Macaca mulatta: one gene and its partner. The protein of the gene in region 1 binds, or shares a complex with, the protein of each later gene. Links are inferred from orthologs where the notes say so. Each region holds a gene or a part of one and is shown on either strand. Other genes may lie near its edges.

What was found.
Region 2: the proteins of ABCC9 (region 1) and KCNJ8 are in contact, whole or in part, in a cryo-EM structure (PDB 7MIT), measured with the Rattus norvegicus proteins. The link is inferred for Macaca mulatta from reciprocal best matches to the Homo sapiens genes ABCC9 and KCNJ8. Residues at the interface, in XP_038963045.1 of Rattus norvegicus: Phe5, Ile10, Tyr13, Asn14, Ile15, Val19, Asn22, Cys24, Phe25, Ala28, Leu29, Val32, Val35, Phe36, Phe39, Phe42, Pro43, Ile44, Phe46, Ile47, Gly48, Trp49, Gly50, Ser51, Lys55, Gln57, Ile58, Asn129, Phe130, Lys132; in NP_058795.3 of Rattus norvegicus: Met1, Leu2, Lys5, Ile7, Ile8, Pro9, Glu11, Tyr12, Val13, Leu14, Ala15, Arg16, Ile17, Ala19, Glu20, Asn21, Leu22, Leu45, Ala46, His47, Lys48, Asn49, Gly54, Arg55, Phe56, Leu57, Asp59, Ile60, Thr62, Thr63.

Annotation. Positions count from the first base shown.
Region 1 is NC_133416.1:24,365,303-24,369,119, forward strand, and holds part of ABCC9 (ATP-binding cassette sub-family C member 9), read right to left. Parts: intron 1,403-3,817; 5' UTR 1,383-1,402; coding exon 1,241-1,382; intron 1-1,240. UniProt on the Homo sapiens protein: Subunit of ATP-sensitive potassium channels (KATP). Can form cardiac and smooth muscle-type KATP channels with KCNJ11. KCNJ11 forms the channel pore while ABCC9 is required for activation and regulation.
Region 2 is NC_133416.1:24,205,498-24,209,775, reverse strand, and holds the start of KCNJ8 (ATP-sensitive inward rectifier potassium channel 8), read left to right. Parts: upstream 1-1,220; 5' UTR 1,221-1,342; intron 1,343-1,347; exon of another isoform or gene 1,348-1,661; 5' UTR 1,662-1,799; intron 1,800-2,668; 5' UTR 2,669-2,738; coding exon 2,739-3,112; intron 3,113-4,278. UniProt on the Homo sapiens protein: Inward rectifier potassium channels are characterized by a greater tendency to allow potassium to flow into the cell rather than out of it.

The DNA of each region.
Region 1 (3,817 bases):
CTACAAATAATACTACATAAACAACAACTGATGTTTCTACATATGGCCACTCTGGTCTCAATATATTTAGCATCTGTACATTTGTTTAATGTAACTATGTACCAAGAGTTATGTTGTCCTGTGTATATATCATATGATGAGTTATTTAATCCCTCTTAGAATAATGCCAAGCACGTAGTATCCTCTCCATTGATATTTGTTAAATGAATAAATAAAAGCATATGAATGATTTTCAAACATTCCCTTAAAGCAGATCATTAAAATTTGCTAGTTTTCTTAAGAAAATGCATCTGAAAACTTTTTCACTTAAAATATCATGCATGAAAAAATTAAGCACAATTAACTCAAAATAGTGGTTGCCTCTGTGAAAAGATAGGAACATAGGATATGGAAAGAGTAACAAGACCAGAAAATGGTGTGCAGAGACAGGCCCTTTCATTCTTACTTCTATATTCTTTAGGTGAGCATTGGTAGGCTCAAAGGATTTTTATTCTATTAATCTCCATCATTTTATGTATCAAAATACTTCATAATTTTTAAAAAGTTAAAGGGTCTGTTTGGGTAAGTTATACAAATTATTCATAATTGCCCTTAATTATCAGATTTTGTACATATGTAAACTGTAAAATAAGACAAAACTGTATTATTAACTTCTTTCCAAATACTTTGTGAATGTCCTCTTTCTACATAAAACACAACCTCATCACTGCCACTGTAACTTGCATGCTTGGCATCTTCCAATTCCCCAAACGTGTCACTCACTATCTTCCCCATCACCTCCAAAGAGTGAGTTGTTTCAGCAGGTTAATTTGTTCCTGTACTTGTAAACAGACTTACAATGTGGCATAGTCATTTCTCATGACTTTAACACATCTGCCCCACTGGACTATTCCCTGAAGGCAAGTACTCTTTTATTCATTTTCCATTCCCTTGACCTAACCCAAAGTAAGTGCTCAACAAATGCTGTAGATCTATCTCATATATTTCTCTCTCCTTCTTTTTAAAAAACTGCTGCTGCTACCTGAAGGCCATTCCTAAGCAAGCATGTGACCTCAATTTCACCTATGGAAGATCACCTGTCAAAAATTTATGTTTGAAAAACACAAAATACTTGCTTGTTCATTTCTCACAGCCATCAGCTTCCATGTTAGAGAAATTAAGTCAACATTATCCCAAATCTCAGCCATTAGTGAGATATATAAACATCACGTGGTATAACATAGGACATTAGATTACTTACCAATAAACAATATTGGAAAAGTGATAAACAACAGAAAGACATGTGGGACCAGGTTGAGGGCATCCACAAAGCAGGAATTTTGTAATACACCATCATTAATATTATATGAAGAAATGTTGTTACCACAAAATGAAAGGCTCATTTCTTCTTATATGGTTTACTCTAAAAGGGAGAGAAATGAGAAAGAAAAATCCGCTTATTAGTAAACTCATGTTCATAAAATTATAGCCTTGAATAGGAGGCCATATCATACAATCAATCCCTTTTATTTTGATAGCTGAGGAAATAAGAAACTGTGCCAAAGCAACTTGAAGGTTTCTTATAAAGGCCTTATACGTCCTATGAGATCTTCTTTTCTATAGATTTTACTTCCAGAGAAATATGCTTTCATGTGGAAAATGTTTATAATTAATATCCACCTATAGTAATACCTCAAATGAGTGTCTGACTAAAATGCTTTCAAAGAACAAAAATGGTCTATATGAAGAAAAAGAAGGAAAAAAATTGAACCAATGACTAAAAAGTCAAAATGATATAATTTCAAATATTTTCCCATACTCACTGAAAATGTACTAATAAACAACTAAAGTTGTTCAGTAAACTGTGACAGAGTTTCCTGAAACATTTCACTAGTTGTGGGAAATACTAATATACAGAGAACAGTGTGCCTGCAGTAATGGCTAAGAGTAATCGGTCTTTCCCTGAAGAATACTAAAAATCAAATGCTCAAGATGAATTAAACCTAACTCAAATGACAAGTCAATGAAACTACTCAGATTCTATAGTTAGAATATTCTCACATGAAATACACTCTACTCAAGTTTGAAACGTAGAATATCTTTTAATTGGAAATTGGTACTCCATAAGTAGAAGTAGATGAGTTTAGAGCAGAAACAGAGGACAAGGTCACACCGTGCTTTGTAAGTCATTGTCAGGATTGTGGCTTCTACTCTTAGTGAAGTGGGCCACTGGGGATTTTGGGGCAAAGGAGTGACATGCTCTCACTTACATGTTAAATGGTTCTCTATTATTGCTGTGCCAAAACAGATGGGAGATGAGCAAAGGTCTGCTCCATCAAAATACTGCTGTGAGATTCCAGGAAAAGCTTTAACATTCTGAAAACTTATTTTATAATACCTACTACTTATTTAAATTCTGGGCACTTTGCATATCTTAAATCCTCAGAACAACCTTGTAACACTAGTGGTGTTATTCATCTTTTACAGTGGAGGATACTAAGGTCCAGATAAGTTCAGTAACTTGCCAACCAGTAGAGCAGCCAAGCCCACACCCAAATGTCTGACTTATAAACTATTTCTTTCCACTGTATTACACAACCTCCAACCTGCTTTTTAAAGAAAGTATCGTATCTATTCTTTAAGCCAAGAAGCAATTTAAGATTTTAACCTCACTAGACCTCGTTTCCTTTCTATATTTATGTCGCACTGTATTCTGAGTTGCATTACTAAAAGTTGGCAAAAATTTTCTTTTTTTTTTTTTTTTTTTTTTTTTTTTTTTTTGAGACGGAGTCTTGCTCTGTGGCCCAGGCTGGGGTGCAGTGGCCGGATCTCAGCTCACTGCAAGCTCCGCCTCCCAGGTTTACGCCATTCTCCTACCTCAGCCTCCCGAGTAGCTGGGACTACAGGCGCCCTCCAACCCGCCCGGCTAGTTTTTTTGCATTTTTTAGTAGAGACGGGGTTTCACCGTGTTAGCGAGGATGGTCTCGATCTCCTGACCTTGTGATCCGCCCGTCTCGGCCTCCCAAAGTGCTGGGATTACAGGCTTGAGCCACCGCGCCCGGCCAAAAATTTTCTTAACTAGCATAGTACCTTTTCTTTCTTTCCTTTCATTGATAATTGATTTAGCAATGGTCACAAACAATACTTTTCCTAGGAAAAACAGAGTGTTATACAGAAAAGGTTGTCAATGGTAGGTAAATTATTAGAGAAATCAAATTTCAAGCAAAGGTTTTATAAAGCATTATATGAATACCTCAGCTAAAGAGTCTGTGTATTTACAATCTTAAATACTTATACAGAATGCCTCTCACATGTTGTTCCTGATAAGCTCTTTTTATAATAAATAACTGATATGCTCCCTAGTTGAGTCTGTCCTCCATCTTTTTTTTAAAAAAAGTTGTATTTTTAAAACCTTAAGGTTAAGTTATACACTTGGTAAATTCTTACAAGCTATTAAGGTTTTAATCTGGATAAAAGAATAAAAGGGACTTGAAGTTTTTAAACAACAGCAAAATGGAAGTTATGAATTTATAGGTGTATGTTAGGTATATTTCTGGCAAAGACAGACAAAAACAAAACTAAAAACTAATAGCTAGTAATGAAATTTTTTAGACTACTTCCTTTATTTAGTAGAAATGATAAAAAGGAAACTTAAAGCCTACTCTTAGTTGAAAGACATATATAAACTTTCCTTGCACAAACTAGAAAATAATGTTTACTTTAGCAACTTTTATAACATTATCCAAAATTGTAATATTCCAGTTGGCCACATTTATAAACTAGTATCATTGAGGTCGATGCTAAAGTATAACCTGCAGCTTTGCAAATCATACCCTTC
Region 2 (4,278 bases), about 160 kb from region 1:
CTCCTGACCTCGTGATCCGCCCGTCTCGGCCTCCCAAAGTGCTGGGATTACAGGCTTGAGCCACCGGGCCTGGCCTTTCCTTTCCTATTCTAATCACATCCCTGCTTATATTAGAGTATATCTCTCTTGCTAAAACTGTCTGCCTCTTAAAAGCAACAACTATGACATATATTTACATATCTCTAGACACATAAACCTAACAAAAGTTTACAAAGGTGTGCAATAAATGTTCCCCGGGCTAAAATAATGAATAATAATGTGTACAAAGTCAAAAATAAAATAGAACAATGGCGGGAATTGACTGATTCTTCATACAGTTGTAAAACTATTATACTACATAAATTACTGCAAAAATTAATGACCGTAGAGAGGAGGACTACCACTAACAAACTAGGATCCTGGGCTTACAGGGGTTAAGGAGATCTAACCACAAGGGGAAAAAAATATTCTTAATTTGTCTTCATTAAAGACTAATTTTAGGTCTTTGGGTAATTAAATGAATACATTGTTTATGCTACATACACTTTCGGCCCGAGTCTTGGAAAATACGTGAAACTTCCAAGAATTAAAGTTTCCATTAACGCAAGTGCCAAAATCAGGAGGCTTGACCTGTGGGAAAAAGCACATTTGTCTTCGCTGGCTCCTTTTCAAAAAGCTATAGATGGTTATTGTATAACCTTTTTTTGTACGCAAATGCTCTGTTTTATCATGCAGACCATCTAGACAGAGGAAGAAGCTGCAACATTTCAGAAAGCAACCAATTACTGAAGACCGAATGACCAGGCCTTATCAGCGCTGAAGTGTTAACGGCGGTCCCTGTTTGGGGCAAAATTTCTTCATCGGGAACCACTGCCAGTGGTTTCTTTTTTCTTTTTTTTTTTTTAAGGGGTAGGGCGGGGGGCGGGGGGGGCGCAGTCGCTGTTTTGAGGAGTGTGTGTGTGTGTGTGTGTGTGTGTGTGTGTGTGTGTGTGTGTAATTCCCTGAAGAGTGGCTTTGGCTGGTGAAGAAATAGTTTACTACAGTGGGTTTCAGAACATCTTCCACCTGCATCTCTCCTAGCAGGTGGAAATTTAATGTAAATAATTGCGTGTGCCCACAGCTTGAACGCCTTGGAAGAATATTTTCTGACTTCTCTGCTTTGATTCAGTCAGAAGTAGCCCAGTTATCATGAAGAAGCCCAGTTATCTACCTAGGTTACAAAATAAAATTAAAATTAAATCTCCTTGCGTCAGTGAACTTGGACTCAGAAAGTTCTCTCCCCTGAGCAGAGAGCCTTTTAAAGACTTGTGTGTCACGCTGGCAGCAGGGGGTCGCGGCTACTGGAAAGGAGCTGGCTCTGCAGGTCCCGCCCTCCCCCGGGTCGTCCCTCCCTCTGGCCTGCTCCCTACCTCCCGGGGACTCGCGCTCGCCCCCTCCCCGCCCGCCCCCTACTCCGCGACAGCGGCGGCTTCCGAGGTCTGGCGTGCGTCAAAGCCCTAACTGGGAGGCTGATTTGTGGAGCATCCCCCCCGGCCCCCCCAGTCCCTCCTCCTCCCACTGAAGTGGCCAAAGGAGTTGAGCTGAGCAGGGGGAGGGGAAGATCGACACCCATCCCCCTTCCTCTAGCCCTCCCTGCGTTTAGATTCAGTTGCACCTTTTATTATTTTAACTCTTCTCCATAGGACACGCAGCCCCCAATCTGTCCCTCCGGCCTGGGCGGCCCCTGGTCCCGCGCGCCAGGATGGGAGAGCGAGGGACCTGCCCGCGGCCCGCCGGCGTGTGCAAGGAGGTCCAGCCGCCGCGCCCGCTGCCCGGAGTCTGTAAGTTTCAAAGCTGCTCCGGGGGAGGGGAGGGGGAGGCTGTCTGCGTTCCCATAAATGATTTAAAATGCAAAACACCGGAGAGGCTTGCAGTGTTGGATGGACTTTTCGGGGTGCACTCCCTACTGCAACCCGCAGGCTGTTGTCTGGGGTTTTTTTTTCTCCCCCCGCACCTTGTATATTTGATTCCTTCGTTGTTTAAAAAAAAAAAAAAGTTTTCAATTTTTCAATTTATAATATTATGATTTCCATAGGAACCTTTTTAACTGTTTTTTTAGATGCAACTCATTCTTTCGCATTTAAAATAATTCTTATAATTTATAAATTCTATAGCACATCACTTATAATTTTGTCAGATTACACGTTATTTATACTGCGCAAGGAGTCACGGCCTTTGCTTACTTCTAAAAATAACGGAGGAAGAATTTCCCCTCTTTACTTTTAATATTGCTACATCATCTAAGTACTTTAATAAGTAAGTAGATCGTGCACCCAACTGGTCTTAATCTTCTTGATTGACGCCACGTGCTGTAGCCTTGCACTAATTTACAGACGCGGTTCATCGCAGAGAATTATCTTTGAGCCTGCTGTTTACCGGAAGGCTCTTGGTTTTGTTTAGCTAAGGCTATGCCCATATGTGTTCAGAATGATAAGAAGAATTGGAACAGTTCTTTTTATTAAAACCAAGTAATTTTTCTGAGATCCCAGAACTCAAGCACAAGCTAGATTCATGTTTGGGTTAGTGAAAAATCACAGTTTTGGTTTTGCATGTCACCTCGCGCATGTACAAACCTGTCCTTGAATACAAGGACCAAGAGGTGAGCATAGGGTGGGTTTTTAAGTTTTTAATGAATGTTTCCCTCGTGCAGGAGGACGGGTGTCCAGGGACGGAGAGGCAGGTGAGAGGCAGGTGGCTAAGCTGGCTATGGTGACAGGACGATGTTGGCCAGAAAGAGTATCATCCCGGAGGAGTATGTGCTGGCGCGCATCGCCGCGGAGAACCTGCGCAAGCCGCGCATCCGAGACCGCCTCCCCAAAGCCCGCTTCATCGCCAAGAGCGGGGCCTGCAACCTGGCGCACAAGAACATCCGTGAGCAAGGACGCTTTCTGCAGGACATCTTCACCACCTTGGTGGACCTGAAATGGCGCCACACGCTGGTCATCTTTACCATGTCCTTCCTCTGCAGCTGGCTGCTCTTCGCTATCATGTGGTGGCTGGTGGCCTTTGCCCATGGGGATATCTATGCTTACATGGAGAAAAGTGGAATGGAGAAAAGTAGTTTGGAGTCCACTGTGTGTGTGACTAATGTCAGGTAAGAATGTAGTGGGATGAGGCAGGGGTTGAAAACAGTAGAGAAAAAAATGTCAAAATGCCTTTTCTCTTATCATTCTGTTATTTAATTGAAAGTGAAATAAAGGGTTTGTTTTAGAATCTCCAGAAACAAAAAAGCACAATAAAGAACAAAACCTAACACAGTAAATATTTTTTTAAATGCAACTTTATGGATGAAGAGTCTCTGAAAATCTGAGCTTCAGTCCTTTGGACTAGCCTTGAAAATGTTGTACCAGTTATCAAAAAAAAAAAAAAAAATTGTAATTCAGAGGATAACACAGAGTGCTTTACTCCAAAAGCACGCACATTTAGTTCAGTATGAAAAAGCTGCTGTCCGTACTTTCAGTGTCCACAGGTAAATATCTCTGATCAATAAAAAAAATATTGTGCTAGTGGACATTTTTCTATGACTCTTCTAACCCATGACACTTTCAGAAATAATAAGAAAAAAAAATAGGGAGGCCCTAGGGGGAGAGTGTCCTAGATTAAAAATCTACTAAAAAATGAAATAAATATCATCCCTTCTTTATCGAGATTATCATAACATAGCTAAGTGCTTGCATAAGATTCAGAAATTAAAAGTTGTGCTAAGATTCAGAACTAGAAATTGCTAATTTTTTAATGAAAATTAGTCCAAAATTTTATGGAAGGGGTTATATAAAAGCAATTTAATTTTGTACTCTTCCTTTCAAAGTTTAAATAGAATAGGGACAAGACAGTTCTTAGATACCTAACTTTGGCTTCTTTCTCATATCATAAGTATCTCAAAGGCAGGTAAATTGAATTTGATTTCAGTGATTCTCCTCTCTTACTTTCACATGGTTTAAGAACATTTAGTTGAGGTGATTTGTTTCTTAATTTTTTTTTGTTGTTGGGAGGTGGAAAGAGATAAATTATATCAATTACCAAGATGTTCACTGTGAATCAAAACAGTAGTAATAATACTAGAAAATTTTTCAAAACATTTTTAAAAGAACATTTTAAATTCACATAGTTCACAAAGCAAGGAAACTTGAAAAAGCATTACGATACCAGGAAACTGTAAAGGATGGGACCTCCAGTGACTCTGAATCTTATGAAGCTAGCATATCACTGCAGAAAGTGGACCCCAGACTGAACTTGTCCACCTTTCCATTTGCTAAGTAA